Linked DNA regions of Coturnix japonica. The protein of the gene in region 3 purifies or fractionates together with the protein of the main gene of each other region. This does not show direct contact. Links are inferred from orthologs where the notes say so. Each region holds a gene or a part of one and is shown on either strand. Other genes may lie near its edges. The genes, in order: RPP30, RPP25, RPP40 and POP4.

Evidence for each region.
Region 1: the proteins of RPP40 (region 3) and RPP30 purify together in Homo sapiens (affinity purification with mass spectrometry; 3 studies listed by BioGRID and IntAct, counting the BioPlex papers as one, with this or other methods). This does not show direct contact. The link is inferred for Coturnix japonica from reciprocal best matches to the Homo sapiens genes RPP40 and RPP30.
Region 2: the proteins of RPP40 (region 3) and RPP25 purify together in Homo sapiens (affinity purification with mass spectrometry; 3 studies listed by BioGRID and IntAct, counting the BioPlex papers as one, with this or other methods). This does not show direct contact. The link is inferred for Coturnix japonica from reciprocal best matches to the Homo sapiens genes RPP40 and RPP25.
Region 4: the proteins of RPP40 (region 3) and POP4 purify together in Homo sapiens (affinity purification with mass spectrometry; 3 studies listed by BioGRID and IntAct, counting the BioPlex papers as one, with this or other methods). This does not show direct contact. The link is inferred for Coturnix japonica from reciprocal best matches to the Homo sapiens genes RPP40 and POP4.

What each region holds. Positions count from the first base shown.
Region 1 is NC_029521.1:17,060,790-17,068,244, forward strand, and holds the end of RPP30 (ribonuclease P protein subunit p30), read left to right. Parts: intron 1-483; coding exon 484-513; intron 514-916; coding exon 917-954; intron 955-2,122; coding exon 2,123-2,202; intron 2,203-4,160; coding exon 4,161-4,267; 3' UTR 4,268-5,930; downstream 5,931-7,455. UniProt on the Homo sapiens protein: Component of ribonuclease P, a ribonucleoprotein complex that generates mature tRNA molecules by cleaving their 5'-ends. Also a component of the MRP ribonuclease complex, which cleaves pre-rRNA sequences.
Region 2 is NC_029525.1:1,714,619-1,722,326, forward strand, and holds RPP25 (ribonuclease P protein subunit p25), read left to right. Parts: upstream 1-2,672; 5' UTR 2,673-2,947; coding exon 2,948-3,559; 3' UTR 3,560-4,504; downstream 4,505-7,708. Other genes in the region: cytochrome c oxidase subunit 5A, mitochondrial, read left to right, coding at 7,220-7,298. UniProt on the Homo sapiens protein: Component of ribonuclease P, a ribonucleoprotein complex that generates mature tRNA molecules by cleaving their 5'-ends. Also a component of the MRP ribonuclease complex, which cleaves pre-rRNA sequences.
Region 3 is NC_029517.1:63,867,253-63,875,427, reverse strand, and holds the start of RPP40 (ribonuclease P protein subunit p40), read left to right. Parts: upstream 1-3,303; 5' UTR 3,304-3,318; coding exon 3,319-3,471; exon of another isoform or gene 3,472-3,532; intron 3,533-4,176; exon of another isoform or gene 4,177-4,300; intron 4,301-8,175. UniProt on the Homo sapiens protein: Component of ribonuclease P, a ribonucleoprotein complex that generates mature tRNA molecules by cleaving their 5'-ends. Also a component of the MRP ribonuclease complex, which cleaves pre-rRNA sequences.
Region 4 is NC_029526.1:7,092,190-7,100,141, forward strand, and holds POP4 (ribonuclease P protein subunit p29), read left to right. Parts: upstream 1-3,868; 5' UTR 3,869-3,986; coding exon 3,987-3,993; intron 3,994-4,079; coding exon 4,080-4,132; intron 4,133-4,213; exon of another isoform or gene 4,214-4,234; coding exon 4,235-4,458; intron 4,459-4,905; coding exon 4,906-4,983; intron 4,984-5,185; coding exon 5,186-5,247; intron 5,248-5,531; coding exon 5,532-5,633; intron 5,634-6,097; coding exon 6,098-6,234; 3' UTR 6,235-6,479; downstream 6,480-7,952. UniProt on the Homo sapiens protein: Component of ribonuclease P, a ribonucleoprotein complex that generates mature tRNA molecules by cleaving their 5'-ends.

The DNA.
Region 1 (7,455 bases), on a different chromosome or scaffold from region 3:
GCCTGACTGCTCTTGCGTGTATCCCTGTCCCTTTCAGCTACTATCTCCAAAGGCAGTAGTACTTAACACAGTGTGCACAACTCTGCATTTCTTCTTTTCTCTTTAAGTCCCCTCAAAGTCCTCTATAAGAGATATGAGTGCACTTGTTTAATAGCATCACTAAGATTTATACTTCTTGGCCATAACCCTCTAAAAGGTGAGTTGCTTATTCATCTCAGAGCTCTCTGAGCTTAGCTTTATAGCTACAAAGGAGGACTTGTCCATGTGGCCCTTTCTCTGTAGAGTTTGGGGAGGTAGCCTGGGCTTATTTGTTTCCTCAGACTGGTGGAGTTCTGTTCATCTGAGTGCACCAGACAGCCACAGTTAATTGTGTTGTCAGCCTGAACTTAACTAATGCTCATGAAGTCGTTGCTGCTTGTAAGTTTTCCATTTCTTGATGCTGACAGATGAATGTTTATTCTTTTGTTCTCTTGTGTTTTGCAGAACATCGTTATATCTAGTGCAGCTGAAAGAGTAAGTCCTGGGCTTTTGTTCAAGTGAAAACAATTTGAGCATTTATTGCAGCTCTAAATACTTAAAATTACAATTTTTATGTGTTAATAGATAACTAAAGTTCTAAGATTGCCACCTTGTATGCTTTTGATCAATTGTTTTACTGAAGAATTGTGTGGGGTTTTTTTTAACCTGTTTGTTTTGCTTTGTTTTTGTTGCTATGGTATTTTCTGTGACAGCTTTCTTACAGAGAGGGACTCTGTTTTGCAAAATAGTGGTATTTTCCTGATTGTAGTAGCACATCTTCAGCGGCTTGCTATTAGGTAGCATCTAATTTTGCTTTCCTGAATGGCTGCTTCTGCAAATAGCTTTGTACTATGTGCTCACATTCTACCAGCCTCCAACCTTCTTTGTTTTGTTCTAGCCTCTAGAATTACGAGGTCCTTATGATGTGGCTAATCTGTATCCTTTTTCCAAGTCAGTGATGGCAATTAATAGTAACATGTGAAAGTTGATTGGTTTTGAGATTTTTCCATTCCTTGCTCTCCTTGAACTTTACCCAGTGATGCTTGTTGGTGACTAATTCAATGACTCAGAGTTCTGCGTGGGTGTGGAAGGAGCAACACAGATCTTGGTCATGGAGTGACATGAACTGTTGCTGTAAATAGTGATGTCTGAGAATGGTTAAAGATGAGTTCTGTGTTGTGATATGTGTTGATATTTGTGTTGAGTGTAAGTGGGAAAAGGAGTAAAAAACCCATAATCATAGATCTTTGAATAAAAAAAAAACCTTTGAAGTCAGCGAGCACTGCTGACCAAACCAAAAATTACTTCTGATCTCAAAGACACTCAATCTTTGATAGAATAAGCCATAAAAATCATGTTTTTATTTAGGAAAAATGAGGCTGCTGTCTTAGCACTAGTTACTTTGGCTCTTAATTTTTCAGTCCTTAGTTCCATATGTACTATTAAATGACTATTAAGTGAAGGATTGTGTTCTTGACAGAAAGCATCATTCCTCCCTTTCTTACAGGAATTCAGATGTGTTTTTCCTCCTCCCTGCCTGTAGGTGTGTGTCCAGACTGCCCCTGGAAGGGGAGGCATTTGCTCTGAGTTGTGAGAACTGTGTGGGAGGGTGTTCAGGCTGGAAGGATTTTACGTGTGACATTTTCTTCCCTCTTAAAAAGAGCAGTGAAGCTTAACTCAAATTAACATACCTAATTTGGTGTCATCCCTATTCAAGGTGGCTGGGAATTTTTCAACATAATGCTGTTGTATCAGACAGTGCCCTTTCCCACAAAGCTGAATTTTTCAAGGGGGTAGCTTTTTATTTGATATTATGTTCGAAATAAAATTTCTTATGTTGACAGACTTTTGTTTTCAAATGACAGCTGCTTGTCTGGAAAAAAGCAGCATTGACAGGAGCCTTCCAGGAGGGCTTCTGGGGAACTGCAGCCGGGAGAATTAGTTGCCTCAGGTCTCTGCCTCTGGGTAACCTTATGCAAAATGTCACTCTAAGTTATGGCGTTGCTAATTCCCAGTTATTTGTAGAGTAAGCAAATCTGTCATACAGTCTTCCTTGCTCCTTTTATTCCTTCCTGTGCATTTTGATCCTGAATAAAGGTGACAGAGGTTTGCTGTTTGGCCTGTCAGAAGGCGAAGCCAAGGCAGCTGTATCCACCAACTGCAGAGCCACCATACTTCATGGAGGTAAGTGAAAAGCATGTGCAAACTTAAGCAATTCTTGCATTTGTTAAGGTAAGTTCATGTTAGTTCATGTTTTCCAAAAGGTCTGAGACCATAGAGAATAAGTCAGCTTGGACTTTTTTCTGCCTAGTTCAGTGAATGAAAAGGAACTTCTGCAACAAGAGATGATTGCTGTGCTAGCAAATCACTGGCTGAATTGGTGGTACTGTCTGTACTGGAGTACTTGCTTTACCACATTAAAAAGACTCAAAAATTGTTTAGCTACAACACAGATCAGCCTGTTCTCCTGCGTTTTGGAGATACCTTTTTTTTTTCAGAAGGAGTATAATGCTCGTATCTGTGACAGCAGCAGAAACTGTGTTACTGAATTCAAAACAGGTTCACCCAGATTTTTTTTTTTTTTTTGCCCTTACTTTCTTGCAGCATGACTACAGAAGCAGCCATTGCTGTGTTTCTCTGATACTTCATTATTTGATCTACTTCTGACTAGCTCACTTTTTGGTGAGGACCATTTCAAACTTGATGCAAACTGTGAAGTCCCATGTGTCTGATGCTTAGGAGGAGGTGTTTCATATGGTGTACCATGACTTTAAGTTCTGGTGAAACAAAGCTTGCTTTCTTATCCTCAGCAGAGGAAGTTTGCATTAGCTTTCTTCTGCTTTACCTGTCCATTTTAATATTGAAGAAAGTAGAAATGTAGCATTTTGCCTCCTGCAGAAATTAGAAGGTTGAATTATGTGTCCAGATGGCAGTTTGTTCTCTAGCCATCATATATACTCTTGCTTTGCTCTGTGGCCCTTTCATTCACCTTCTCTAACCTCCCTTTCACTTGTTTATTTGCTGGTTCTTGGTGTTCCTAGATTTTTGATGTGTATTCCAATGGCAATTTAATTTTGTCACCAAGTTGTGTGTCTAGCTGTTAATTTCTGCTTCTTCCAGGATTTGTTGGATAGGTAGGTTCTAGTCTTAACAACTTCAGCTGCTCTAAGCTGCAGACACATGGTAGAATTTGGTTAGCATTTGTTGTTTCAGTAGAATTGCAGTTTGAATATACTGTAATTCATAGTGAGTAGCTATGATCTCTTCAAGAATGCATTTCTATGATCAGGGTCATCCATCCTGCTATGCTACTCATCTACATTGTGACAGTGTTGGAAGAATTTCTGTTAAGCTTATGTGGAATTTCTCAAGACCTTCATTTTTCTTATCTGTGAGGTTAAAAATTAATAAATGTAATTTTCCTGTGCCCCAAAGAATAGTAGACCAGAATAAGTCCATATATTTTGGCAAAGCTCTTATGAAACCACTTTGCTAGCAAGAGTATTTGTTAGTAGCCTTGTCTGCCTTAAATCTTCAGTGTTTGCAGAGAAGCATTGTAGTAGCGGTTCTGAAATTGGACTGGTTCTACTGGGTGTTTGGCAAATGTTTGAGGAGTAGCATGAAATGGTAATGCTGTGAGTTCTGTAAATAAAAGATGGTTGAATGCTATGAAGCCACTTACTTGGTATGTGTATGTGAACCTCTGCCAGTGTAGCTGTGCCAATGTAGTCTTTTTAAGAACCCTGAAGTATGTGAATGTTTATTTATTTTATTTGAGAACATTGTTTTGCTCAGAAATACTGAAATGCTTTTTGACATGTGTTCAAGAATGTGTCTTTCTGTCAGTATGGAACTAATGAAGCCTGCTTGCCTGTGGTTTCAAGTATGTCCCCCCCAACCCCCCTCCCCCAAAGTCCCAGCAGACCTCAGTTTTCCCTCATTCTTGCTCTAATTCTGCACCCACCCTCATATTTCCCACTTTAGTTTCCCAAGTGTGTCCTACGTCCTGACTGTGCAGGTGGCTTACCTGCTGCGTGAACTGCATGGCTGGCTGTGAAACATGCTGAATTGCAGCAAGCATGCATTAAGTGCATTAGTATCAGTTTATTTGAGGTAATTCAGCTTTTGTTTGTATGTTCCAGAAACTCGGAAGAGTGCCTGTGGGGTAGTTTACACAGTGAAGAAGCTTCACAAGGTTGAGGAGGAAGAAACAGTGCCAGCCTGCAAAAAGGCTAAGACTCAAGCTTGAGCCAGTTGTCAACAGGAGCCTCCATCCAGTCTTTACCCAGGGGCTGAGTCTTCCTGCACCCTCCAGTTGGCTTGGTTCTTCAGTTACTGATTTTTTTTAGCTTGAAGAAGAATTATTCTTTTGGTTTCCAAGTGAGGAATTATGTTGGAATGGGACTGCTGAATGGTATTTTACCACATCTGGAAGGTCATCCTATTGCTGGGCTTCTGGACAAGGGCAGGAGGGCATCACTCCACCTTGTCCTACCTCTTCTGGAATCATTGTGAACTTGCTCAATAGAAAGTATCCCTAAGGCAGAAACATCATGTCAAGTGTACTTTTTTATATGAAAAATGTTTTCAAGATGGCATGCCTGTTAAGTCTCCCTCTTATAGTACCTGAAGTTTTAAAACATGTCTCTGTACTAAACCTTAGAACCATAAGTCAGTAAAGTGTACCTTAAATGGCCTGAAAGAATAATTGTGCAGTAAAAACTTTATCTGCTTTCTATTCTGTTTTGTGATCAATAACAATCCCAGCATGTGGTTTGCTCACTAGGAGAAATCTTGAGTTTGTGTCACAGGAACACTGACTAAATCAACCTGTTAGACACACAGTGCAAAGGTTATCTCCGTCCTTGAAATCAAACTTAAAGCCAAACAGTAACATGAGACGTTTGCCATGGATAGGAAGAAAGAGCCCAAGGTTATCCTCAGGGTGTGCTCAGCATGGTGTGCAGTTGCAGCATAACAGCTGCCTCACCTGGACCTGAGCAGTCTCCATGTCACACAACTTTTACTGTGTCATGTTGGATTTTTTTAATGTCCAGATTGTTTTGCTACCTCCTGACTTTCTAGTTTTTCTTCCTGTTAGTGCTTCAGTAAATCTAATCCAAAAAAGCAATTATAACAGATTTCTTCTCAGTGAAGCGTTTTCAGACGTCATCCAAATGTTGACTCAAGTTTCTCTTTTGACCAATATAAAAATTACATAAAATGTTGTACTTAAGATGCTTTTGTGCCAGCTTTATTCTGAATATTAAAAGCCTTGGAGCATGACCAGAGAAGATCAACAGAGCTGTGAAAGGTCTGGAACACAGGTAATATGGGCTGAGGGAGCTGGGGTTGTTCAGTCTGGAGAAGAGGAGACTCAGCGAAGACTTTATCATTCCCTACATGTCCCTGAAAGGAGGTTACAGTGAGGTGGTGGTCAGCATCTTCTCCCAGGCAGCAGTGGTAGAACAAGAGGTAATGGCCTCAAGTTGCAGCTGGGGAGGTTCAGATTGGATATTAGGAAAACTTTCTTCTCAGAAGCAGTGGTGATGTACTGGCACAGGCTGCCCAGGAGATGATGGATTCACTGTCCCTGGAGGTGTTCAAGAAAGGTGTAGATGTGGCGTGGTTAGTGGGCTTGCTGTTGAGGGGTAGATGGTTGGACCAGATGATCTTAGTGGTCTTTTCCAACCTTAATGATTCTGTGATTCTCTATTCTTATCTGACAACAAGCTGAGGGGCACAAGTTGTGACATGTAAAGTACTGCAGAAACCTTGCAGTGAGTTATCTCTGAGCTCTTAGTAGCTAACGAAGCTCTCAGTAGGCTCATGGTTTTATGAAATGCTGGTGTAAGTCACAACAGCTTTTGCATCATTCTACTAGCAATAAAGTAGTTTTTCCTTTGTTTTTATTTTGCTTGTCAATGTCATGATAAGAGTCTATTTTATTACTGGTGTTGAGATACAACATCAATATTATTGATGTTATATATAGTGGCTTCTCATTTATGGACTTGCCTCCAAATTAAGGTTCTAACCAAATAAAGAAGCACTGGAAATGTGCCTGCTCAATGTAACTTTTATGAGTTATGTACTATACCATGCCTTGGTGTGAGCGTGAGAAGAGTTTTGTAACTAGCGTGCAGAAGGAAGCTTTTGAATGCAAGTTATTCTACTTTCACTTGTTTGACCTCAACTAGGGAAATGTAACATCTGCATCTTTGCTCTTTAAGTAGATACAGCGTTTCAGGAACTTTGTGGGAAGTTTCTTTTTCTCCCAATTTCCAGGAGCACTGAACTGCTGCTCAGTTAAGATAGTCAAGATGAGTTAGACAGCACTGATGTAATTTCTGTTTTCTGGAAGATATGTTCCCAATGTCCAGATGATTGTGCAGAAACAAGTACAGAAATAGTAGCTTGCAGAGGGAGACAGCAAGCAGAGACATACCATAGTTCTTATGGGGGAAAAAAAAGTGTGTTTTCAGGTGACACAAATTACGGTGCTTGCTGTGTGAAAAGTCTCATCTGTCTAAATCTGTTGCTTCAGTGCAGGGTAGCTGGTTGCAGACAAAATAGGCATTTGTTCTGCCTGCTTCTCTGTGGGGTTTTCGTAAATTCATTTTCAAAATTGGCATTCTAGTAATAAATACTCATCACTGTCCGTTCCTGACCTTGTTTTGTTGCCCAGGACTTTGTTTTGGCCACACTGTGAAGTCTGTTGGCTAGAAGCCAGCTGTACTGGCTGGTGAATCTTTGTGGGAGCCTGTGGCATATTTCACTGTGAGGCTGCTCTGTGGAACGTTCAGATTTTAACTGAACATGGCGTGTGATGTCCCAGTGAAACTGCACATCAATGTCTCTGCTTGCTTAAGATTGTTCTGCCTCTACTTGAAGCTGTGTGTTCCACGCTGCAAGCACCAACCGCTGAGAAACAGGGATTTATAATCAAACTCAGTGATAAAACTGTAGCTTTGTATATTATTAGACACTTAAATACCAGCTTTCTGCTTCCGTATGTGTGTTTGTATGTAATGGAAAGGCAGTATTTATCCAGCAGTGGCAGGAAGGTAGCTCAAGAGCTGGCTCCTTTGGGCAGCTGAGACTTTTTTCTTTGACTATTTATGAATTTTAGAGGCTAAGGTATGAACTTTAAGAGAACTGTCTGGTGCATGCTTACTGCTCCATAATACACTCTAGCAAGTACAAAGAACCACTCCGTTTATTTAATCTGAGATAAGTCAGTACAAAATGTACAGAAAAAGCAGTACAAATTTACAAATATACATCATCTGTTTTTACATTCTTCAATCATCAGGCTTTGTAGTAGTCTAGCTTTAAGAAATCCACATTCTCAATACTGTCTCCTCTCACCTTCATCACGTTGCATCTGAATCCTGCAGTTCATATGGCTATATGATGGAGCTCTGTCCATGAGCT
Region 2 (7,708 bases), on a different chromosome or scaffold from region 3:
CTGCGTCAGAGCTGGAGGGAAGGCAGAGGACACAGATGGAGGCACTGAGGGGAGTGGGGCTGCTCCCCAGCTGCCCCCATTCCCCAAACTCTCCCCTCCCCCCTTCGGGCTCAGCACAGGGCCCGACTTAGCGCGGACACCTGGCTCAATCCCGGCTCCCTCCCCGCTTAGCACCCTGCCGATTAGCACAGCCTCCAGCCGCGTGGTTCGGCCCACGCACAGCAGCGGGGCTCCCTCAGCTCCATCCCCGCAAGGAAATGGCCTCACCGAGAGGCGAAAACCCACGGAAAGCGAAGGGACACCCACGCGGCGCGTTCCCCACTGGGCTCCAGCGGCCTCCCCGTGCCCTCCCGGTGCCCTCCCCGTGCTGCACGACACCCCCCCCCCCGCCCATCAGCCCCTTGGCCGTCACGAGCGGGTCCCCACGCACAGCACCGCTCCCACGCGTCGCGTCGCGGGTGGCGGCGGCCGCCCGGCGCCGCTCTTGCCGCAGCGGCCGCGCTCTCGCGAGACTACGCCGTCACCCGCCCGCCCCGCCAACGGGGCAGCACTCCGGATCTCGCGAGATAAGTTGGAACTGTCCAGGGTCCTGCCGCCGCCGAGCGTGGAGTGAATAGGGACGGGGGCCTATAGGGGGCCGAAGGCAGAGCTCGGGCTGAGAGCTGTAGGTCGTGGGAGACCCCCTATGGGGTACGGGGGCAGCAGGGCAGGAGAGACTCCAAATGAAGGAGTTTGGCATATTCCATATGGTTGGGTGACCTTCTGTAGGGGATGGAGAAATAGTTCATAGCTCTATTTGGGTCAGGGGAAGCTCTGGATGGAGCAGGGTAAGCTCCATATGGATTGAGGCAGACCCTCTATGGGGCAAGAGTTTGTCAGGCTCCACATGGGGCGTATGGATTCGAGACACTACACAGGGCAAGGGAGATCCTCCATGGGCAAGAGTTCAACAGCCACCATATGGGGGAGAACCTCCATAGGGTTTAAGTTGTGTATGCATTAGGATCAACCCTATGCAGGTCATGGATATGGTGAAATCCATATGTAACAAGGAGACCCTCTATGTAGTGTGATATGTATGGAGGGCAATAGCATCAGGGCGGCACCAGAATTAACATATCGCCAAGACTTGGTTGCTGCACCAACACTGAGAAGGGCATATTCTCCTCCTAGTCAGAGTATAACTAGCACAGTAAGGGGGACAGCCCAGCCATGACCCAGAGATTCATACCTGAGCTGAGGATAGTGGTCAAGCCCAACCAAGACCCCAGATCAACTGGCACATCTCTAGTAGATCCACACTCTCAAGGTCAAGCCATGAAGTAAGCCCAGCAGCCAGGACCAGCAATAGCTAAGCAGCTCTCCAGTCAACCCGTAGATTGAGGTCCATATGAGTAGCACCAGAAACAAGCTTAGCTATCCCTAAATGGGAGACCAGCTCACAATAGATCCCAAATTAGAGCTGAAAGCTGTAAATATGAGCTTACACAGGGCTTTGGGACCATACAAAGGTTGTGGGGCTGGGGTCCCTCAATTATTCCTCTTGCTCGTTGTGTTATGGCTTTACAAAGGGGTTTCAGTGGGGAGCCAGATGCATAGTGTCTCGCTTAGGGATGTCACTGTTATAGGTGCTGTCCCACGTGCAATGTGACGAGCACCTGAGACCTGAGCCACCCCGATGTGACGCAGAGATGGACGGAGACTTTCCTCATATCGCATGCTTCAACTTTCCGAACTGCTCCCACATTCAGCAGATGAAAGAAAATATAGCGAGGGCAGGTGGAGGGCAGGGGCTCACGTTACTGCTGCTCCAGCTTTCACCATCTCTCTCTCCTGTTTTAACCGATTCCCTGTACTTTTCATGTAGTGCTTTTATCCCCTCAGCCCTCCTTTTGTCCCTTTCCCATCCTGCTGCTCCTCAGCTTGGAATAACTGCTGTTGTCCTCCAGCAAACACACAGTGACAGGGTAATGAATGGCTTCAGATGGTAATTAGCGATGGAGCTGCTAATAACACGATTCATTTCCATTTTAAGTGCCGCAGAACGCTGCGATAAAATGGACCACGGGTGGCAGGATTTGATCCCACAGCGCAGTTTTCCTCCCTGCTGTGTGAATGGTTGTTGAAATCCTTCCTTGTTATTTTCCTAGGGGCTTTAGCATCTTTCAGAAGCAGTGTTTTGCCACAGAGGCTTTAATCTGTTTCAGCCACGCCATTGGCTCTGCCTCAGTTTCTCCTCTTGGGGTTGTCCCAACAGTGGTACCCACTCTTGCTGCATTGGGGCAGCGGGGATGGGGCTGGCCGATCCATTCATTTATTTATGGATTTTGCAAGCCCTATTCGGGGTGAAAATAATCCCAGGTCCTCCAGAGGCCGATAAGATTTGGCAGCAAGGCAATACTCGGCATCTCTTTCCACTGTGCAATGATCCGGAGGCTGGGGCGGGGGGAGCAGGGGACAACTGCTGCTGTTTGCGGGCGGCTTGGTGTCCTTGAGAGAAGGGACGAGGTTCTCTTTAAGGGGGCAGGACTTGGGGAGCATCACAAAGCCAGGAGAGAGCTTCTCCCTCTGCCCACCCAGGGATGGAAGCAGCAGCAGGGTGCTGGGATGGGAGGCTGAGCGAGGGGAGGAGGAGGAGGAGAAGGAGGGGAGGGAGGGGAGGGAGAGGGGGAGGATCTGCTAATTACACAGAACAGCTCTGGGGGCTGCTGAAGTCCAGAATGAAGCAAAGAGCGGCAGAAGCAAGCGCTGCAGAGGGAACAGAGGAGCCTGAGCACTGCCGAGAGCTGCAGCCAGCAGCGAACGGGGGCACCCAGGGGATCCTACAGCTCTGGCCTCCCCTGGGGACAGCCAGCACCAGGACGAGGAGAGGGGAAGGGGCTGGGGGTCCTGGGGACGTGACGTTGGAGCTGGAGGAAGGCAGCGGGGGCTAAGTGTGGGGTGAGGGATGGCGGCCAAGCCCATTGCCCAGTGTAGGATGGAGAACTTCCGAAAGGTCAGGACGTCAGAGGAGGACAGCCCCTTGCCCTTCCCTGACTTACCCCCAGGTGTGGTGGAGATGAAAGTGAAGGAGGGCAGCAAGATCAGGAACCTGATGAGCTTCGCCATGGCTCAGATGGAGCTGAAGGGCAGCAGGCAGATTGTCTTCAGCGGCTGCGGCAGAGCGGTCACCAAGACCATCACCTGCGTGGAGATCATGAAGAGAAAGCTGGGGGGTCTGCACCAGGTCACCAAGGTACGCTACAAAACCTTGCTGGAGGTCTGGGAGAACCAGGACCCGCTGCCTGGCACTGCAGCACAGAATCTGACCGTCCATAAGAACGTCCCTTCCATCTGCATCCTGCTCTCCCGTGACCCCCTGGACCCCAACCAGACGGGCTACCAACCCCCTGAGCCCAGAGAGGCAGGAGAAGACCCCACGAGCTCCTCGGCCAAGGGGCTGAAGCGGCCCCCACCGCCTGCCCGTGAGGAACTGCTGCCCAAGAAGCTGCAGGTAGCGGGAGCCAGCAGCCCGCAGGGCTCGGGGACAACAGACAGCCAGATGGACGGCCACTACTGACCCTATGACATGCTCACAGCAGGGTCTGGGGGGGCTACTGACCCCACGCAGAACACATCCTTGTATCCCACTGGCTCCCCATTTTATGAAGGGCGGCTGCAGTGTGTAGGTCTGTGGGAAAACCTCCCCTCTCCAAACTTTTCCTCCCTTTTGCCTGGTGCTGCGAGCACTTGTAGGGATGCGGAGCTACTCGTGCCTCCTGTCAGCCCTGCTAAATAGCCCCCTGCACAGCAGACCTCCAGGACTCCCATAGAGCTGAAGCATCCTTTGGATTCTCCCCAGATTGGGAAATGCAGCTGCATGCCTCCGCTCTGCATCGGGATGTCTCAGCCAGCTGCAAAGAGCCCATCAGAGTAACACCTTCATTGCAATTAACCCCCGAGAGGAGCTGTCAGGTTTATTAATGCTGGGCTCCGTGCCTCGTGGCTCCTGTGATTCATCCTGAATAGCACAAACAAGCAGATGGGTCCTGCTCCCTCTCACCCAGCTCCCTGCTTTGTCTCTGCTCCTTCCTCTCCTCTGTGGCATCGTTGCTATTTTGTGCTTTGCTCTGAAATACCCCAAGCTGATCCTTCCTCTCTCAGAACTGCTGCAGCCTGAGAGCCAAAGAAACAAGCCCTGGAGCACTGCTGTTCATTTCAATAGCAGCCCCTCCAGTGAACAGGAATGGAAATAACCCCTCTTCCCACATCATATATTCAAGTTTTTCCTCTCCCGGAGGTGTTTGCAGCCATGGTGAAAGCATGATGACGAAGACAACAGGGAGCATCAGGTGGATCATCTACAAGCTGATGGACAGATGCTGGGATGAAGAGGAACTTTGTAGGTTTGGCTGCGGATTATTCGCTATGGGCTGGCTCCCCAGAATAGCCCTTTGGAGTGAAACACCCGCTTTTTCTATGGGTAAAAGGAAACCAATGGAAAATAAAAGCTCTTTAGAAATAATTGAAGTATGTCTATGGGGAAATGGGGGGGGTGAGGGTGGGGGTCGTCTTTGCCACTGACCATGGCACAGATGGGTACAGTGAGGGCGAGACTGTGGCTGCTGCTGAGGCAGAACAAGGGGATCCTGGCCAAATCCTGCCTCTTGGGGATGAGGAATCAGGGCCAGCTTCTTTGCATGCCCTGGCAGTCATCTGGCCCCAGCTGACATGGCAAAGCCCCCCATGGAGCTCCATCTGCCCCACGTCAGCCCCTTGCCATCACGTGGGGACCAAAGCAATGCAGAGATGGGTTGTGGGAGGCCAACTGAACCCAAATCCACCTGGGTCCCCTGCCCAAGCAGGACAGATTCAGTTGGCTCCAGACAACGCAGCCTTGGGATGGAGTCAGCGGACATCACTGCTTTGCCAAAGGCTGGCTTGGAAAGTGCTTTGTTTGGCTGGGAGAGGGAATGGAAGGAGACCAGGGGAGCGAGAAAGAAGAGGAAGGGGGAGTAAAGGGGGGTGGGTTGTTTGGCAATGACCTTGTTATCTGTCTCAGCAGGCAGCTGCTCCTCTGGGCCGGAGGCTTGTGCTTATCTGCCCTGCCACAGATTGATTCATTTCACTTATCTACCACCATGTAATTGAACATTAATTTCCATTTGTTTTCTTATTTTTGTGGGGCTTTCATTCCCAGAAAGGAGGGGTTGGCATAAGAATTGGAGGGGACCGAACAGACCCCAGAATCAAATCCATGCACAGCTCAGCGGCGCTGGCCAGGTGCTGTGCATGCGATGCAGTCTGAGGCCAACAAGCCATTGCAGAACAGGCTGTAGCGTGCCCTCAGCCCCACAAGTAGATCAGCAGAAGCCCTCAGAGCAGCATCTTGCACCAGTTTCCATCTTGAACGAGGTTAATGAAGAACTGTGCATAACGAGATGGGGAAATCCGGGTTATGACACTCTACCTCAGTGATCGCAGATAGGGATTTCTGATCTCCTAACCAGCAGGACCCCAAAGCCTCAGCCTTGGTAAAAGCCAGGGGTTTTTGGTCTCCTAACCAGCACCAGCAGGACTTTGGGGGCAGAACTCAATAAGCAACTCAATCTAAGCATGAAGACTTTAGAGAACTAACAGTCCTTCAGCCAGCTCACGTTGCCCCCAGCAAGGAGAAAGGCAAGGAGAAAAAGAGAGAGGGAAAAAAAAGCCACTTATTTCACCATATTATTTTGTTAATGTCCAAAAATGACTGTTAATTGATTCAGTACACAGGCAATTTGGAGGCAACAGGAGGCTGGGGATTACAAATGCTTCGCATTGCTGGCTGCGTACCAAGGATTTCCTGCATGAAGAAATAGTTAAAACAGAATAAAAACGGACTGCAACTCCGAATATGAAGCATTTATAAATAGCAGGATGGCATCTGGCTCCACAGGGTCCTAAGGGGGTATTGTGAGTGAAAACAGAGCGGCTGATTGTCTGCTGTGGAGGCACAGCCCAAAGCGCCTACGAATTGTAATCTGGGGGTCATTTTGTGAGCTATAGGGATAGTGGCACAGCCTCACAGTGGCCTCAGCTGTGGGCAGCACACTGGTGTGTGTTTAGGGATGGGGATGCAATGGGTCTCACCAACACAAGCATCCACCTCGGGCTCACTGATGCTCTGAAGACAGCCTGGCAGCAGGGATTCCCTTTGGGAAAGCCAGGCTGCATTCAGCCGTGGAAAGCCTTTAATGCCAAGCAGCTGCAGGCCCTGATAGCCACCAAAGCATGGAGGGCCCTGAGGGCTCTGCCTCCCTCTGAGAAGCCAAGCTGCTGCTGTGCTAACCCAGCTGCTGGGCTGCTAACAGCGAGCAGTCTATTGCCAGGAAGGGCTCCATCCCCTCACAGCATGGCTGCCTATGGGCAGCTGATCCCTGGGGGATCTCGATTTAAAGCCTCTGGGGGCTCTAAAACACAACATGGGCATTCATATATCCATAATAGGATGGATGAACAACCGGCTGAAGGGCTGAGTTCAAAAGGTGGTAGGAAATGGGGTTACAGCAGACTGGGGGGGCAGCCTCGGAGGTGTTCAGGACCAGGTTGGACGGGGCCCTGGGCAACCAGATCTAGTAAAGGCGTATGTTTGGTGGCCCTGCCAGGCAGGGGGTTGGAACTACATGATCCTTGAGGTCCCTTCCAACCCAGGTCATTCTGTGATTCAGTGTGAGGTTCCCTGTGGCTCCATTTTGAGGCCAGTTCTGTGTTACTACAAACAATTTACAACCAAATTAGGACTCCAAGCTCTGGCTGCCAGCAAGCAGCATGTACCAGATGTATAGACATACCTTGTGCTGCAGCAGGCCCAGCCGTGCCAGGTGAATGAGGACAGGTACCATCCCACTGCCGGGCCCACCACCAGCATTGGGTACAACATGGATGCCACAGCATCAGACATCATAACAACCAGCACTCAGAGGAAGGCGATGATGGTGTGTACAGACAGGAAGATGTGAGGGGAGGCCTCATAGCTGGAACACCACACACCACCAACCCTACCACAAAATGGCGGCCGGCACCCACTGCCTTCCCGCCCATCCGCCGTCACGTGATAACGCGCTCCCGTTCCTCTCACAACTTTGTCCCCTCGGCGCCACCGTAGCCGTCCCCGCTCCCCTCCCCTTCCTCCCGCATCCCGCGGCCTCAGAGCGCGGCCGCCGCCCGGTGCCGTCCTCCCTCCGTCCCTCCCGCCGCCATGTTGCCCGCCGCCTCCCTCCTCCTCCGTCGCTGTGCCGCCGCCGTCGGCCTCCGCAATGGCTTCCGGGGTCCCGCAGGTGAGCGGGGCCGGCCGGGCCGCGGTGTCCTTGCCGTGACCCGGCGGCTGGGCCTAGTGCTCGGCGTCAGCTTTCTTCCCTTTTCTATGTGCTTTTATGTGGCCCTTTGGGAGCCGAGCCCTCCGTGGCCTATTAAACCTGAAGCACATAAGGCTTTTCAATGGGAAAAGTCACATGTAGTGGGTTTAAGGCTTATTTAGTAGGTTCAAGGCTTAGATGGCGGCTCTGTACCCTGCTGGGGGTCGTGCTGTGTGTGTGGAGGGGGGTTAACCCGGGGCTGGCAGCCTGGGCCTTGTCCTGCTGCCCCCCTGTGCCCAGCATGGAGCTGCTGTGCTGTCATTGGGGAAGGTCAGGCTGGGCAGCACCCGCTGGGCCTCAATGTTCCTTATGTATCTGCCTTATTCTTGCAC
Region 3 (8,175 bases):
CGCACACCCGCCGAGTAGCGGCTCCGGCAAGCGGGCCCCAAATTGCGGATCGTGGGCACAGGAGCAAAGAGTCCTGAGGGAGAGAAGTGCACGGATTGCGTGCTTACATCCCAGTTGTGCCGTGCAAAGCTTTGAGACTTGAACGTCGGGGGAGAACCCCTAAGACAGGTGAATTGAACAACAAATCCGTTCCCTTCTTAAAGTCGGGTTATTACTTTTTTTAAGCCACTTTTTAAAGCTGCTTTTTCTCCCCCTCATTTGGACCCAGCAGTGCCCGTAGAAAATAAAGGCCAGAAGCTCTGGTGGCACACGTCTCATAAGTCTCGGTCATGTCTAATAAGATTCCAGTTGAATTCACAGAATCACAGAATGACCCGGGTTGGAAGGGACCTCAAGGATCATGTAGTTCCAACCCCCCTGCCTGGCAGGGCCACCAAACATACACATTTACTAGATCAGGTTGCCCAGGGCCCCGTCCAACCTGGTCTTGAACACCTCCAAGGACGGGGCATCCAATTCCCATCAGTTTTATTTACCCGGGGTTCCACGTGGCCACCAGCATCCTGCTAACACCCATTTAATGTGCTCAGACCCGTATCTGAGACCTTTTCCAACCTCTCTTCTTTGTGCACACCATCACTATTGTCTGTGGTGATTTCTATGGATGGCTGCCAAAAACACATGGTTCTTAAACTCCGTTCTTTTCCTCTCTCGCGTGTTTTACACCCTTTGTGTTATATTTTGAGTGTGAAGCCTTGCTGCCAAGTAATGACTCCTCCAGCTCCTGGCATTGTACGCAGCATTTGTTCGTAGTTCATTCTGGAGCTTCATAGGAACAGGAATGAAGGACAGACGCTCTCTGGCATCAGCGGTGCCAATGGAAAACATGACTAATAGCCGTTTGCTGTCAGCTGCTCATCACTGGTGCTCTGCTTTCAGCTCAGCTCATAGAGCAGCCCCGTAACCAGCCTGTCCCAGGTTATGCCACCCTTTGGGTCTTTGGACAGCCTCGTTGTGATGGAAGTAAGCCATGGAGTTACTGAGCTGAGGCCTGCAATGCGCTGCCAGAAGGCCACAAACAGAACAACAGACAGCTGTGCTGTTAATGCTGACTTTGACCAAAAGAGGATGCAACATAAGCCCATTGTCAACTGTGCCTGGAAGTGAGACTCACAGCTCACCCATTCCACTTGTGGGGCACCTGGAGTTAACCAAGCTGACATGAAGACTGACCAGGTGAACAGCTGGTTTCAGGGCTGTGTGCTAGAGAGATCCCGCAACATCAGGTGCTGGCTGTGGTGAGGCACCTTTGGAAAGTTGCTAGAGCATGCAGCACTGAGAAACAAGTGAGAGGAGCCAGAAGCCTTGGCTCAGCCCCAGAGCCGTGATATCACTGGCATCAATGAAACCTGGTGGGCAGAGTCCCGTGACTGGTGTGTCGCAATGGACCGTTCTGGGCCTTTCTGCAGGGACAGGCAGGGCAGGTGGAGTGGGAGGTGTCTGTGTGTGATGGAGAGGTTGGGCTGTACAGAGCTGGCAGCTGGTCATGGCACAGTTGGCAGCCTCTAGGTAAGGATTAAAGGACAAGCAAATAAGGGGATATTGTGGAACACTGCTGTGGGCCACTTAGTCAGGACAATGACAACAATAAATTATTCTTGAAGAACTAAAAGATACCTCTAGATCAACCACCATTTTCCTTTGTCCATCTTTAATGATAAAAGGAAAACTGCCAGCAAAACTTTAGCCCTGGCTATGGGGAGAGCAGACTTCAGGCTGCTCAGGGAACTAGTTAGCAAGGTCTCATGCCCCTCAGCCTGCCCACCTCCTTCCAGAGCTCTGTCCCTAGGCTGAGCAGTTCTGGCTGCCCACCCTGGCCCAGTGCTCCCAAGGGCCCTGTAGGCAATGGCCGCCATCGCTACTGGTCTCTCACAGAATCACAGAATGACCCGGGTTGGAAGGGACCTCAAAGATCATGTAGTTCCAACCCCCCTGCCTGGCAGGGCCACCAAACATACACCTTTACTAGATCAGGTTGCCCAGGGCCCCGTCCAACCTGGTCTTGAACACCTCCAAGGACGGGGCATCCACAGCCTCCCTGGGCAGCCTGTTCCAGGGCCTGACCACTCTCCTAGTGAAGAACTTCCCCCTTACATCCAACCTAAATCTTCCCTCTTTCAACTTAAAACCATTTCCCCGTGTCCTGCTATTGTCAGCCCTTTCAAAGAGTTTAACAGAAGTTTAACAGAGTTTAACCTCTCATGTCCTATCAGAGGCCCTCTGAGTACTGCCTGAGCTCCTGGTGGGTCTGCTCCTCTGGGGTTAATGTGCATTCCTTGTATGCTGTGCAAGTCTGGGAAGTAGGCCTGCAGGAAGGACTACTGTTCACAGAAGTTTAGAAAAAGCAGTTCAGACAACCCATCCTGCATGAAAAGAATTGAAAAGAGGCAGCAGCACGCAAGGAGGAGTACCAGATTTTTAGAGTTAGTCATCGGCTCGTATTAGTGAGTGTGATCTGAAATTGGATAAATCTTTATGACATACACTGCAGGGAGGGAGGTGTGTTTGATGTGCAATTTAATACATTCACTGAGCTCCTTGGATCAATAGTCATCGCTGGACACAAAATGAACATGAAAATATTAGTCTGGGGACACCCAGGGTCATGTAACAGGAGGATTCTGTTGATTCAACGCAGACACACAATTTAATCCCAAAGACTGTTCATACACTTTCCATCATTTCTTTTTATGCAATTCTGATGTTAACTTCAAACCTTCAAGACCAGAACTAGGTTTTCCTGTCCGTCCAGGCAGAAAGTTCCCCACTACACAGAATGTATCTTGTTCAAATATACCATCTCTCTTCAACTTCCCAGTCAAGTTTCCACTAAGAAAATCTCCTGTTATTGCTACAGAAAACCTGTAAAAAAACTACTAAGTGATATTGAACAGTTTACAGGGATTGATAGATATGCAGGGATCATCACAGTTTGTACACTACATTAATAACATCTTTTCCCAAATTCTAGCACCGTTAGTTCTGAACTATCTTCTTCCTTCACTTCAAAAGTCATCTTCTTCCTCCCAGCTTCCTTCACTTCAAAACTCATCTTCTTCTTCCCATCTATAACAGTTGAGCTTGCTGTCAGTGATCTGGATGCATCGATGGCGAGCATCCTCAGTAAGTGTGCTGATGTGGATCAAATTCAACCATGTTATATGCCATTGTATTGCACTGGGCTTCAGTGTGAACAGAGCTCCATCTCACGCAGAGTAGTTCTTATATAAAGGGCGTTCTATGTGAACTTGCACCCAGATGGTTTCTGTTTTGTGTTTTTGTGTTTGTCGCAAGGAGAAGGCCCGTACCTCACCCAAAATCAACAGAGACATGAACTCGCTTGGACTCTGCTGGGACGTCAGAGCTGGTATCTGGTCAGAAGGGCAGGGCCGGGCAGTCACAGCTTCCTACGTAAGTAGTGCATCAGCTGTTTCTTTCACCTCTCTTGAAACACTGTATAGACCTGTATAGGCTGCATAGATCCAATGTTAAAAGTTGTTCATTTGCATGTGTCGTTTTCCAAACTGCAGCACAAGGAGTAAATACAACCCTGAGTCTGCATTTCCTCAGTTAGGGTTAGTTATGCATTGAAGTGTGTTAGAAGATGGAATCACAGGCATCTCGTAGGAGATCCTGTAAGAGAGGTACTTTATTTCACAGCCATTTTTATTCTTATGGCTTACAGTGGGATTGTTTTAAGTAGATGCACATACATACCAGCAAGCAGGTGTCTGTAACACAGTACAGAGCTTTGTATTTCATTGACTAATAATGCAGTAGATCATACATATTAATCTGAATTAAGTCCCGCAGTTCCATCACCTCCAGTAGGAAAGGCAGAAAAGAAGCCCCACCTAGTGGTGTGGTTTATTATCTATCTATAATAGATGAGGAACTTGTTATTCTTTAAAACAAAGCAAGTGCCTTGATCACTTTTTAATGTAAGAAAATGACTACAATTTATGAAGCTGCTTTCTTTCAGTGGCAATTCCCAGTATCATAGCCAAAGTTCGTGCTGAACAACAGCCATCTTACATTTAAAACTTGTACTGCAAACTGTTGTGTACATAGTACTTACATGGAGTAAGGAGTATAGGATGGGAGATTAAAGCTTACCAAAAATATTCTCACTGTTCATGTCTACACGAATGGAGGTTGCAGCCGTAATGAAGTTGCTCGAGGCTCCTTGTTCCCTGTACATGTTTGGCATAATTCATGGTAGTTTCCATTTATGAGCCATCTGTACATAGTAGACACTTCAGATTATCATACAGTAAATATTTAAGAATAAATTCAGCTAAATATGCTGCCTTTCCTGGTATCTGGACTACTAATCTGCTGTAGCTTCTGCCTCCATTTCCATATCCAACTAAAACAAAAAAAAGATGAATCCCACATGTCTCTCGTTTCTTTTCACTCCCAAACTGATGAGGCATTTAAAGGCAGCTACTTCAGTGATTCAGTACCTCATTTCTGGTGTCTGTAATGTGAGGATGATAGATTGTAAATGCAACCTAATGGTGCCAAAATTGAATTGTTTATCTTTTTGCTTGGTGAGGCAGAAGGGCTCAAATTAACTTTGGTTTGAAAATGTTTCAAGCAGCCGCTACGCTGTAAGGAGCTCAAAAAGCAATTCCTTTGAAAGAAGATGCTTCTTTTTTGAAAGGGTTGTCCAGGAATAGGAAGTGTTGCCATTCACACCCTGTTCTGTCTCCTACACAAACAACAGACATGTATGAGCACAGTTGAAGTGAAAGGTTTTACTGTTCCAGGTTATTCTGTTTACAACACCAGTTGGTCAGTGTCCATTCACACTGAAAATGTTGCTTCATGCCATCAGCTGATGTTAAGGGAGTAATTCTTAGCTTACACTGCAGTAACAGAGTGCAGAATATAACAGAGAATCTTTCAAGTAGATCACAGAGTGTGTAGTCTCAATTACTAATTGATTTCTGGTAGCTAATGCCTCCCCCTCGTGCCGCTACTTCCTAATTATATGAGCAGTCCTAGCCAAATCTTTTCAAACTTACTTGCAGAGCTAAGGATAACTCAATGAGATCAAGAGTAGCCAGGTTAATCTTAGAGAACCAAAATGTGGAGCCCTTAATTAACTCGTGGAGTGATTTTAGTAATCAGGCTGGAGTCACAGAGAGAAGCAGCTTAATGACCAAAGAGGAAGAATGAACTAACGAACAGAGTAAATCTTGAAGAGCCACTGATTCATTTTCCTTCTGAATATTGAAAGGTTTCAGTGATTAAATCAAATGACTTCTAGGCTTTCTCTTTCAAAGGCCTATTTCAAGAGTAATTTTCTCTCTGAGTTTTCCTTTTTTTATCCATTGTCCCAAAGATTCTACTTATTTTCACTTAATTTTTGTATGCCATTTTCTACTTATTATTCCAACCGAAGAAATAAATGAAATTTCTTACCCCTGCCTCGAGAAGGATACATCTGTTTCCCAAGACAAGTCCCTCTCTGTCTGCTAACAAAAGGTTTATCTTGGCCAAATTCAGAGTATTTTTGTTTAACTGTGGAGCCTTGTCTTCTTTTCAAATTGGAAGACTAACGACTCTATGTAACATTCTGTCATTCCTGCCATATGTTTAGTGGGTGTGATTTCATTATGGTTTATGACTGAACCCATTTAGTCATCATTTCTTGACTCATGTTACAGAACAGGAAGATCCATAAAGTATTGGCACTGAACTGTGCCAAGGTGCAAGCGGCTTTGTTTTTCACATTTAAATGCAGTGGACAATAGCAGTGAGGTGGTGACCTTTCAGTATGTTTTGCAGAGAGCAATAATCCTCCAAGCAAACAGTGCAGTTCAGAAGCTTATTTGAAGTTCTGTATCTTCACACTGATGTGATTTTTGCTGCTTCATTGATTGAATGGACGATGCAGTTTCTTGCCTGGATTTTTTTTGTCTAAAACTGCCAGACTTTTGTTTAAAACTGCCTGTTTCCTCACACATTTGGCCAGAAGCAAGAACAGCGGTATTGGCAGGAACTTCAGCCAGACACAAACCGCTAGCAGGCAGAATATAAAGACTTTGGCTCTACAGAATTTTTCCTCCCGCCGTGGCAAATAACAACTGTTTTGCTGTGAATGGCTTGTGTACTAAAAGATGCAGAAGCTCTCAGATCTCAGATAAAAAGATGACCTGTAGAGGCAAAACTTTTGATTAGTTTTGTTCTCAAACAGTTTATCCAGGAAAAATAATGGATAAATGCTTGGGAGACCTCCAGTCTTAAAAATGATGAAGACCAGAACAGATAATATCATCTAATATTAGATGTGGAGGGTGCTGGCCTGCATGCGGCAGGGGGGGTTGGAGCTTGATGATCCTTGAGGTCCCTTCCAACCCAAGCCATTCTTTAACTCTGTGATTTTATGATCAGTTCCATGTAAAGCCCATTTCTCATAACAGAGCTTCCAGGTGACTGGAGAGAAGTGTTTCAAAGCCTGGTAATAAATGCGCATCATGAATAGGTGTTTACGGGGTTATTTGAACATGGATGTCAATAATTTTGCAAAAGCTTAGACTTCTTAAACATAGGAGGCTAAACTTGAAAGCCTTCATCCTCATTTAAGTCTCAGTGAGGTTTTTGAAAAGTACTTTCCAAATGACAGAGGAATATACATGCTGAATACAGGGCAGCTTGTGAAAAGGTCCTGTTTTACGCTTAGATCCCAGAGCAGAAATAAGGCTTAGGAAGGACTACAGTGTAGTCTGAATGTTAAAAATGTATCAAAAATGGAATGATAAGGACAGCCCACTAACGGAGAATAGTATTTGTAAAAGTGTTTAAGTAAGAAGTATCTGAAGCAATGACATCATATCTTTGAAATGTATAATGCAAGTAGGCTATTGAACTTCATGTCTATAATTGTAAATACAATGAAATATATGTCTCAGAAGAACTCTGGCATCCATAATTCTAATAATGAGTTGACTAAAATGAGAAAAGAGAAGATTTACTCTAAAATAAATGTGAGGAAACAGGGGCATATGTGCGAAAAACAACTGTTCTTAACTGGTGTATCCAGTATTACTATTTTTATCTATTTCTACAGTCAAATTTGAGTGTCACAAGATAGATAAAAAGTGCAACTTCAAATTTAAACTTCACTTCTGATAATACCACTTTGATACCTGAATCCTCCTGAGGGAACAACTCCTGCCTGGGAACATGATGCTTTCTTTTTAATCTTAGGTTATTTTAAGTTATTACACAGTTTTGGTTGCTTAACTTCATAGCTTGAAATAGGCAACCGCGTGATTTTGGAATTGCCTTGAAAAAGGATGGTTGAAGTTACTGCACTAAGCTTTCACGACCAAGCTCTGCTGCTCATCCTTGGTGAAAGCACAGAGCTGCACAAACGTGCAGCAGTGAGAAGTGCAGCATGGGACCTTTGTGATTTGGGAATGCAAGAGAAACAGTTCATCAGGCAAAAATTCCAATGGTCTCACAATCAGAAGGTTTGTTAACAACGTGCATCAACATACAAAGGAGTGCACAATAATAGGTTTAGAAAATATGTTTAAATATGTCTCTGTTTAAAGGGAGACACAAAGTCAGGAAAATCCCCCATCACCATGCAGGGCTCAGCCAAATTCCGGCCCTTAAAAGGCAAACAGAGGTGACTACTTGAAGACCAAAACCACTCCTGCTCCCTGGAGCCCTGTCTGGTGAATGATTTTTCCCTTTTCTTCTCCCACTCTTGCATCACAAGAATGAGTGAGTTTCCCAGATCATAGAGGGTTGATTTTGTTTTTAACTATAAAAGAAACATCCCTTGTGTGGAGTTTGTTTGTTTGTATCTTGGTTTGTTTTGTTTTAACTGCATTTAAACTAAAACATGGAGCTCCGTCCATAGCTAACACTCACCATTCTTTCTTCCTGGCTTGAAAAGCAGCTTTGGGGAGTAGCTTGGCAGAAGCTTTGTTTGTAAGCTCCTAGAAAAACAAGGCTGAGTGGGATCATTTTTACAACCCATCGTTGCTCTGAGCATGTAAAAACAGGATATAAAGCTAACTATCAAGCTCTTCACCATCTTTCCACTTTCCTCAATGAAAAAAGCAGCTGACAAGGGTCAAGCAAAGTGCCATT
Region 4 (7,952 bases), on a different chromosome or scaffold from region 3:
CCTGCCTCGCAGCTCTTCCCCACTGCAAAATATATAAATTCATCTCGTACTAAAATTAACATATATTGCTAAGGCGAATGAATTGCCGTATATCTATTAGCTTCCAGCATATCCTGAGTGGGAACTTCATTTAATTAACTGCCTGACAGGCTAGCTCTCTCCAGAACCATGGCCACAGTTATTACTTTTATCTCCTTGGACACCTGCCTCTCACCCTGGTTTATCAGATTTCTGCCGAAGAGATGGACAAAGTATTTTCTGTTGTACGAGGCTGCGGGGTTTTGTGTTGCTCTTTTTTTAAAGGAAAGGTTCTTACTGAAGCACTGAACTCAAACAGGCGTTTTTGGTCTGTTCAATTATCAAAGCGGCACAGCAGCATTAACCCCCTCACTGCCCGGCACTTCAGAGGAAATCAGATTGCACACAGGAGATGAAAGCCTTCCATTGGGTCCTGAGCACCCTTCCTAACGAGCATGCCCACAGCAGAAGACAAACCCATCAGCTCCTTTGATGTGTCTCCTTTTCTTTATTCCTCATACACAAACGTGGAAATACAGCGTGGCTCCCCAGCATACAGATCAGTGCCATCAGCTGCACTCTGCTGAGTGGGAGCTGCCTGAATTCTTCCACTGTATTCTGGGCTAGTTGTTCCACTGCCACTCACACCTTTATAATTGGTCATAAAAAGCTAATACGTTTACAAGCAACACCCAAATAACCCCGGCCTACCTGAGTTCCCAGGGACACACACGTAAGGGGGGCAGGACTCGGCGCACACTGGGGAATTGTGACAGACACAGTCAAAGCAGCAAGACCCAATGATACCGGCTGCCTTGGCATTTGACACCTTTATTAGTGTGGACATGGAAATGCATCTCTTCGGCAAGGACAGTGCAAGCTGACTCATTTTATTAAAAATAATGTCAGTCCTGGCAGCCTAATTGTGTTACTTTGAAAGAGAATGGCAGGAACAGGGCCTTGCCAGCTAGCGATGCCTCGGAGATGGATGCCTCATTACAGAGCAAAGATGAGAAATTTGTCTCTAATGAATCTTTTCAAATTTCCTGGGATTTCAGCCCAGATCCCCACGCTGCAGCCCGGCTGATGGGGCAGGGGCTGCCCTACCCTGGGAACGCTCTCCCAGTGCCACCAGCAGCACAGCGGGCTCCTGTGCCCTACAGAGAGATGCACTGGATGATGTAATGTATCTTTGGCCAAAACTTACCATTGGGAAAGTGCACAATCAACACAACCACACCGTATCACACAGACCTGCAGAGTTCAACAACCATTTCCTAGGAAAAAAAAGGTATGAAATTCCCCCAAAGCCTTCTTCCACAGATAAATTTACTGTGATGTAAAACAGGCTGGTGTACGTGAAAACTGGAGCCATGTATGCTGCAAGAAGCTGCAAACAGCCACATTTTCTCCAAAGACAAAGCAATTTTTGACTCCTAATACTTGATAGAGCTGGGTTCTGCCCCGTGTAGGAGCGGGTCTGGAGCTCTCAGCAGGCAGCCCTGCAGCAGGACGGCTCGCTCTCGGTGCTGGGCTGCCCTCTGGTGAGGAGCAGAGGAGTGCTGAGAAGCAGGCAGGAGTTAAGCTGGCTGAACACTCACTGCTTCAGCACTGCCAGGGGCTGGGAAATGTATTAACAACTTGGTATTTGGGTAAGGGAAATCAGATCGGAGCGTTTAAAGCGGCAATTATTTTCACCAGTATACCTGTCCCAAGGGACCAAATGTGACTGCTAATACAATTTGGCCAAGAGGAACAAACTGCATTGATCTTAAGAACTCCAGTGCTGGCTGAGATGCTCTTTCTGGTGAATTACAGTATCTGTTTCTTGTATCAGCTGCAATCAGGAAAAGCAGTCCGTGATTACAGCCCAGTCACCTCCTATGCACATCACTTCACTTCTGCTCATCTCCAGCTTCAGTTCACAATTACTCTTGAACAACAAACAAACAAAGCAACACCACAATCATCTCTTCTTACATCATACAAACACCTCTGTTTTCTGCAGGTGGATACTCTGCACCTCACTTGTAGCTCTCTGTGCTTCCCATCACTGAAATTCCCCCAGCACATTGCTGTTACCTGCCTTGGCCTGCACTCGTTTCTCCCATCACCCACTGTAACTCAACGCACCGACAGCCGAAGCAACATGGCCCCCTGCTGTACACATGTATGGTGGTTCATTGTTGGGTGTTCACAAATACATAGATACATAGACTAAAAAAGCAATAAATATAGCCATACACAGACTTAATGGGATAAGAAATACCAATGCTAGCACCTGCAAAGGGGAATAAGTAATATATATTAGGGGTTTATATCACCATAAACTTGTATTGTGCTTGCAAGCTGATTTACTTGAAAAAGTAAAAAGCTTCAAAGGCCTGAGACTAAGACACTTCTGACACTAAGTGAGGTGGAGACATCCAGAAACATGCATTAGAATTATCTGCACTTCTGTTTACATATTTCTGCATTGATTTTATTCCAAATTCCCTTTTTACTCATCTTCCCTCATTTCTCTGAGCCTTCTCTTCCTTTCTGATCCATAAAATATTTCCACGTATTCTTTTTCCTCCTGCTCTTTTTCATGTTTATTTGATTGAGTCCCACTCCCAGCTCAGAGCCCTTTCCCTGGAACACACACTAACAAGCTGACCCAGCTCTATCAGACACTGTCTCTGAAGATAGATTGGGAAATGAAGATGTAGAGCTGTTGGAAGAGACTGGCTTCCCCAGGCACCTGTTTAGCCTGGATCATTGGATTTACTACACTGGCATCACCAACACCGATTTGACTATTAATCCCTTAAGTGCCTTAGGAACTGCAGCATAAATCCAGCCAAGGAGCACTCATACGGCCCTGAAGACCCATAGCGTTCATCCTGGCACTCCATTCATGAAAACTGATCTTTTCTTAAATAGCAATGACAACTCAAGGAGTCCCTGCTTTGTAAAAACAAGGCACCTGTTTGCTGTGGCAACATCCTACACTGCCAAGAGACCTTTCATACACGCTGTATGGGAACTGTTGAGTCCCAGCCTGAATCACTGGGCACCTGAGAAAGGACCTGCTCAGCCCTGAGAGCACAAGTGGAGGCAATTCTCTTTGTGAGTGGAAGGGTGGAGCCTGGCTGCACCTCTTACACCTCATTTAAGGGCTGACTGCCACCAGGGAAGGTTCTCTGGTTGGAGATCCCTCCTTGGTGAAGCCTGTGACCTTAATCTTCAGAGATGGGTGAGCAGACCTTTATCCTTCCTTTTTAACACCATTCTGTTGTATTAGTCCCTTTATTATTACAGCTCTTGTATCACCTTTCCATCACATTGATCTTTCTGGTTGTTACACAAACCAACCAGTGCTTGTGCTTATTAATCTGAAGGGACTGGCCTTTTTTTCTCTACAAATACACATTTATCTGCAGTTTTGTCCCTTGTTACACACTGCTTTAGTACCTCTGTGCTCCACAGCAGCACTCAACACAATGCTCACATTTCCTATGCTCTGTCATGGCAGCTCTGTCAGCCTCCTTCCCCAGGGGGCACTTAGTTACACGTGTGGCTGATACCCACCCCGTGATAGGAATACAAACACCTCTATTTTAATGTGAGCTTGGACTTGCTAAGCTGAGGAACTTGTGGTACTGTTTCCAGAGCACCTCTGTGCCAAGAGGTGTGGGAGTGCAGCAGGGCTGGAAGGGGCGAACCCCTCGGAAGAGCAGGAGATGCTGCGTGCACATGGATGTGTATCCTCGTACTAAACTGCCATGCTCAGGCCCAAAGTTCCTACTGCTGCAGGGGGCTGAGCTCGGGTTCCGTAGCCCCCACCCCGGCACACAGAGCGTTGGGAAGCGCTTGATAGAGCGGCACTGTCCTGCAGCTCCACCTGCCGCACTGGAGGGGAAGGGGGGGATGCAGCCAGGCCCGCCCCGGTCGCACACACGTCACGGCTGCGCCGGAGCATCGAGATGGAGGGTGAGTACAGGGATGGGACGGGACGGGAGGAGGATGAGGATGAGGAGGTAGATGAAGGGCCGGCTGAGCCCGCTGTCTGCCCGCAGGTGTGTTGTACAGCGGGCTGCCCCGCGAGGCGGCGAAGGAGCTATGCCTACAGGTACCGCTCCCATGTACCCCCACAGCCTCTGCCCAGCGCTGCCTCAGCTCGGCGGGCAGCCGGGCTCTAATTTAATTAAAGTCTGTTTTTAAACACCTTTAGCCCCAAGGGTCAGAGGAGGCCAGAGCGTTTGTGAGCGCCTTCCTGAAGCGCAGCATGCCCAAGAAGAAGGACGAAGCCATCCAGGATGTGCTAACGCGGAAGGCCGTGGTTCTGGAGCACCACTGCAGGAGGAGGAAGAAGCCAAAGAGAAGGAAAACAAAAACCTTCACAGCCAAACAGAGGAGGGAGCTGGGGCTGTTTGATATCGAGCCTGAGCAGCAGAGGTATGAGAGTGAGTTTGTGTGCTCTGTGGCACTAAACCACAGCACAGCTATAACCTGGGCTGCCTGTTGGATGAGCTCATCCCTGACCAGTTCTTTCCTAAGTGCTGCCACCTGTGACTTCAATTCTAATCCCCAGAATGGCTGCAACCAGTGAATCTCCATTTTGCATTATGTTCCTTGACCCAGGACATGCTGAGTAAGGCCAGTGCTGCTCCTAAAAGGAAGCAAGGGGGAGAAAGAGGAGCAGAAAGCTCTTAAACACATCCCTCCCCTTGGGTTTGTTCGGAGCATATTCAGCTTTACTTGGAGTGGTTTACTAAGTGATCTGTGCAGCTGATAACATGTGTAATTCTTAGTTTTAACTCTGCTTACTAAGACAATCTACAATATAATATATTATAATATATATAATTAAGTTATTGTAAAATATTTGCCTTCTAACTGCAGATATGAACTATTTCTACCACTACATGAACTCTGGAAGCAATACATCAGAGACCTGTGTTATGGACTTAAACCAGATGCGTAAGTTTAGCTAATCTAACCACCACCATTTTTTAAGGCATTTCAAGTAGTAATTTGATTAAACTTAAATGTCAATTATTTAATAAGGATATATGCTATTTCTGTAAGCTTTGACCAGTATTTCAATAGGCACAGTCACACCTTATAAACATGCTTTTCCATGTATTTTTTTCCCCTCTCTGATCCTACCCTTTTCTTCAAGGCAACCACAGATGGTGCAGAGCAAACTGCTGAAAGCTGACCTCCATGGAGCTGTTGTTACAGGTATTGTTTGCTTTATTCTGCAGTTATCTGAGATTTGCTGTACTTTCTTATGTTTCAGGTGCTCATTGAATTCCTTTCAGTATCAACTCTAGGATAATGTAATTGTGTTGATGGATTCTTTCTCCATTTACCAGTGCTGCTTAACTTTTCAACTGCTCTACCAGTTATCACTATAATTACTTCAGACTATTATCTCAGACTTCTAAAATGATGAGGCAATAATGGAACAGCAAACCAGCTGCACCTGAATTTATTCTAACACATTCCTATTCTTGTTCTTTCAGTCACAAAATCAAAGTGTCCATCTTATGTTGGGATAACGGGAATAATCCTACAGGAATTCAAACATGTCTTCAAGATTATTACTAAAGACAACAAACTAAAAGGTATGGCAAATGTTTTTCAGTGCTTGTTATAATGTGAGTTACTGAGAATCGATCATATTATTATACTTCTGAGTAAATGTATGAGCACATACATACATTGTTCTTTACCACTGCTTGTAATTCTTTGCATAGTGGCAGAAGTTCATGTCTTTATCTGACATGTAAAAACCCAATAATGTACCTTAGAAGTAATTTAAAAACATATTTCCAGTGATTTATAACATGATTATGCACATGGTTCATTCATCTGATTCACTGTAGATCGTTCTCTGCAACTCTTACTGCACACTTGTGAACAAGGACTGAATTCTGTCAGTTTTGCCCTTAAATGTACAGGCTGTATTGAGTGTATTTCTCACACTGCAGCATTAAACCTTGACATGTTATGAACCTGAAGCCTGCATGTGAATAGTATTCCCTGGTACACCAGTATCTATGCATAATGCTACTTCTCCATTTTTCAGTTGTTCCCAAAATTAACAACGTATTCAGTGTGGAGACTGATGGATTCATTTCCTACATCTATGGAAGCAAGTTCCAGCTTCGAGCAAGTGAGCGGTCTGCAAAGAAGTTCAAGCTGAAAGGAACTATTGACCTATGATTTCATAGCAAATCAAAAGGAAGTTTAATTAAGATGTCTGCTGTTCTCCTTCAGTTTACAAAACAGGTTTTCTGGCAGACTGAAAGACAGAGTTAACTAGCTGAGATTTTTCTGAAGTGTTTCTTCATACTGAAGAATGACTGGTTTCATCTTTAAAGCAGTCTGTCAAACTGCTGAAGTCTTAGTTGTATCTTTTACTTGTGTGTAATGTTCTGCCTTTTATTAAACTTGTGATTAGTACTGATTACCTGGTTTTTGTTTCTATTTTGACTGTATATTTGTTCAGTGAATGTTTTATCTTATAACTTGCTTACAGAGCCTGCTTCGTTCAGAAGGCAGCAATAACACCTGTCACTGTGTAAGGAGACTGCAGCTGGTAACTGCTTTTATGTGATTGCTCCTGGATCAATCATTGCTGCCTGTTCAGCTTGTATCCATGCTAGACTGAAAAACCTTATAATGAAAGCATTGGGCAAAAATGTCTTTCATGTTTACTGAGTCAGCAACAGAGGTGATTTATGCTGCAAAAGGTATCATGTCCTGGCAGGTCAATGAGAACTCCTATGAGTATCAAGAATGCTTTCTGGATTGTTTTCCGCTAAACCAGGGAATGTTTTAGTATCTGACTTCCAAGGACTGATAAATACCAAGGTCAGTAACTTTCTTATCTTAGTCTGGAACTATTTATGCTTTTTTTTCCCTAGAACTACCTACCCAAATGGAAAAATACATTGTTTGGGGTAATGGTTAAAATGCAAATGCACAAGAAGTGGAGGTGAAACCTCTAACTGAGCACATGCATTTAAACAAGCAAGACATGTCTTAAACCACAGGTGCTTCAATCAGGACAGTGCCTCACAGGTGAGAAATCATGATTCTTTCTGGGCTTGTAGCTACTTGCAATCACTAGACAAGGACTTGGATTCTGTTCACGAGTACTTTAAAGTTAACAGGCACTTAGTCGAGCTCTGAAGTAGTTACATCAAGGTATCTCCCTTTAAGCATAATTCCTCCCAAAGTTCTTTGAAATCCATTAGATTTCTCTGAGAATCCACAAGGAAATATCAACAAATTGGCAGAAAGCTTAAGTGACAGTAGAAACTTTCTCTGCAGGACAAAGGCTTCATTTTCATTTTGCTTATAGCTATCAGTGTAACATCTAATTAAGACATCTGTTAAATGCCTATAATATTAAATTAATAGAGGGAAGCTAATGGAACTTTATTGGCGTAGTCCTGTTAATTAAAGACCTTTAATAGATGTCTTAACTAGGCATCATTAATGGCAATGACACACAAATTGGAATTAGGCACGATCCCATTTCATTGTGCTGCAGAGGACATACTATATTCTGCCATACAGACACACAGATGAGCACAACAGCATTTTCCATAGCTATTGCTATTTACACTTTTCTACATTTTACTTCAGTGGCAGGAAGATGTGCTGCTTAGCAGCCCCTTTCAGTAAATAACAGTAAGGAAATAATTATTTACAGTGAATAGTGCTGGAGAGGTGTTCAGAGGTCTCTGAGGTACTTAGATGCTAGCAGCACAGATGACAAATGAAGCCTAACAAGAGATTGAACAGCCAAAGCATTCAAACTACCTTTACTGCTGTTGCTAAATCACCTGAAGAGGCATTTTTACCTCATCGAGGTGTTCCAAACATCCAAATGTAGGTTTTTTTTAATAAGAAGTTCCAGTTCCTTACTGTTC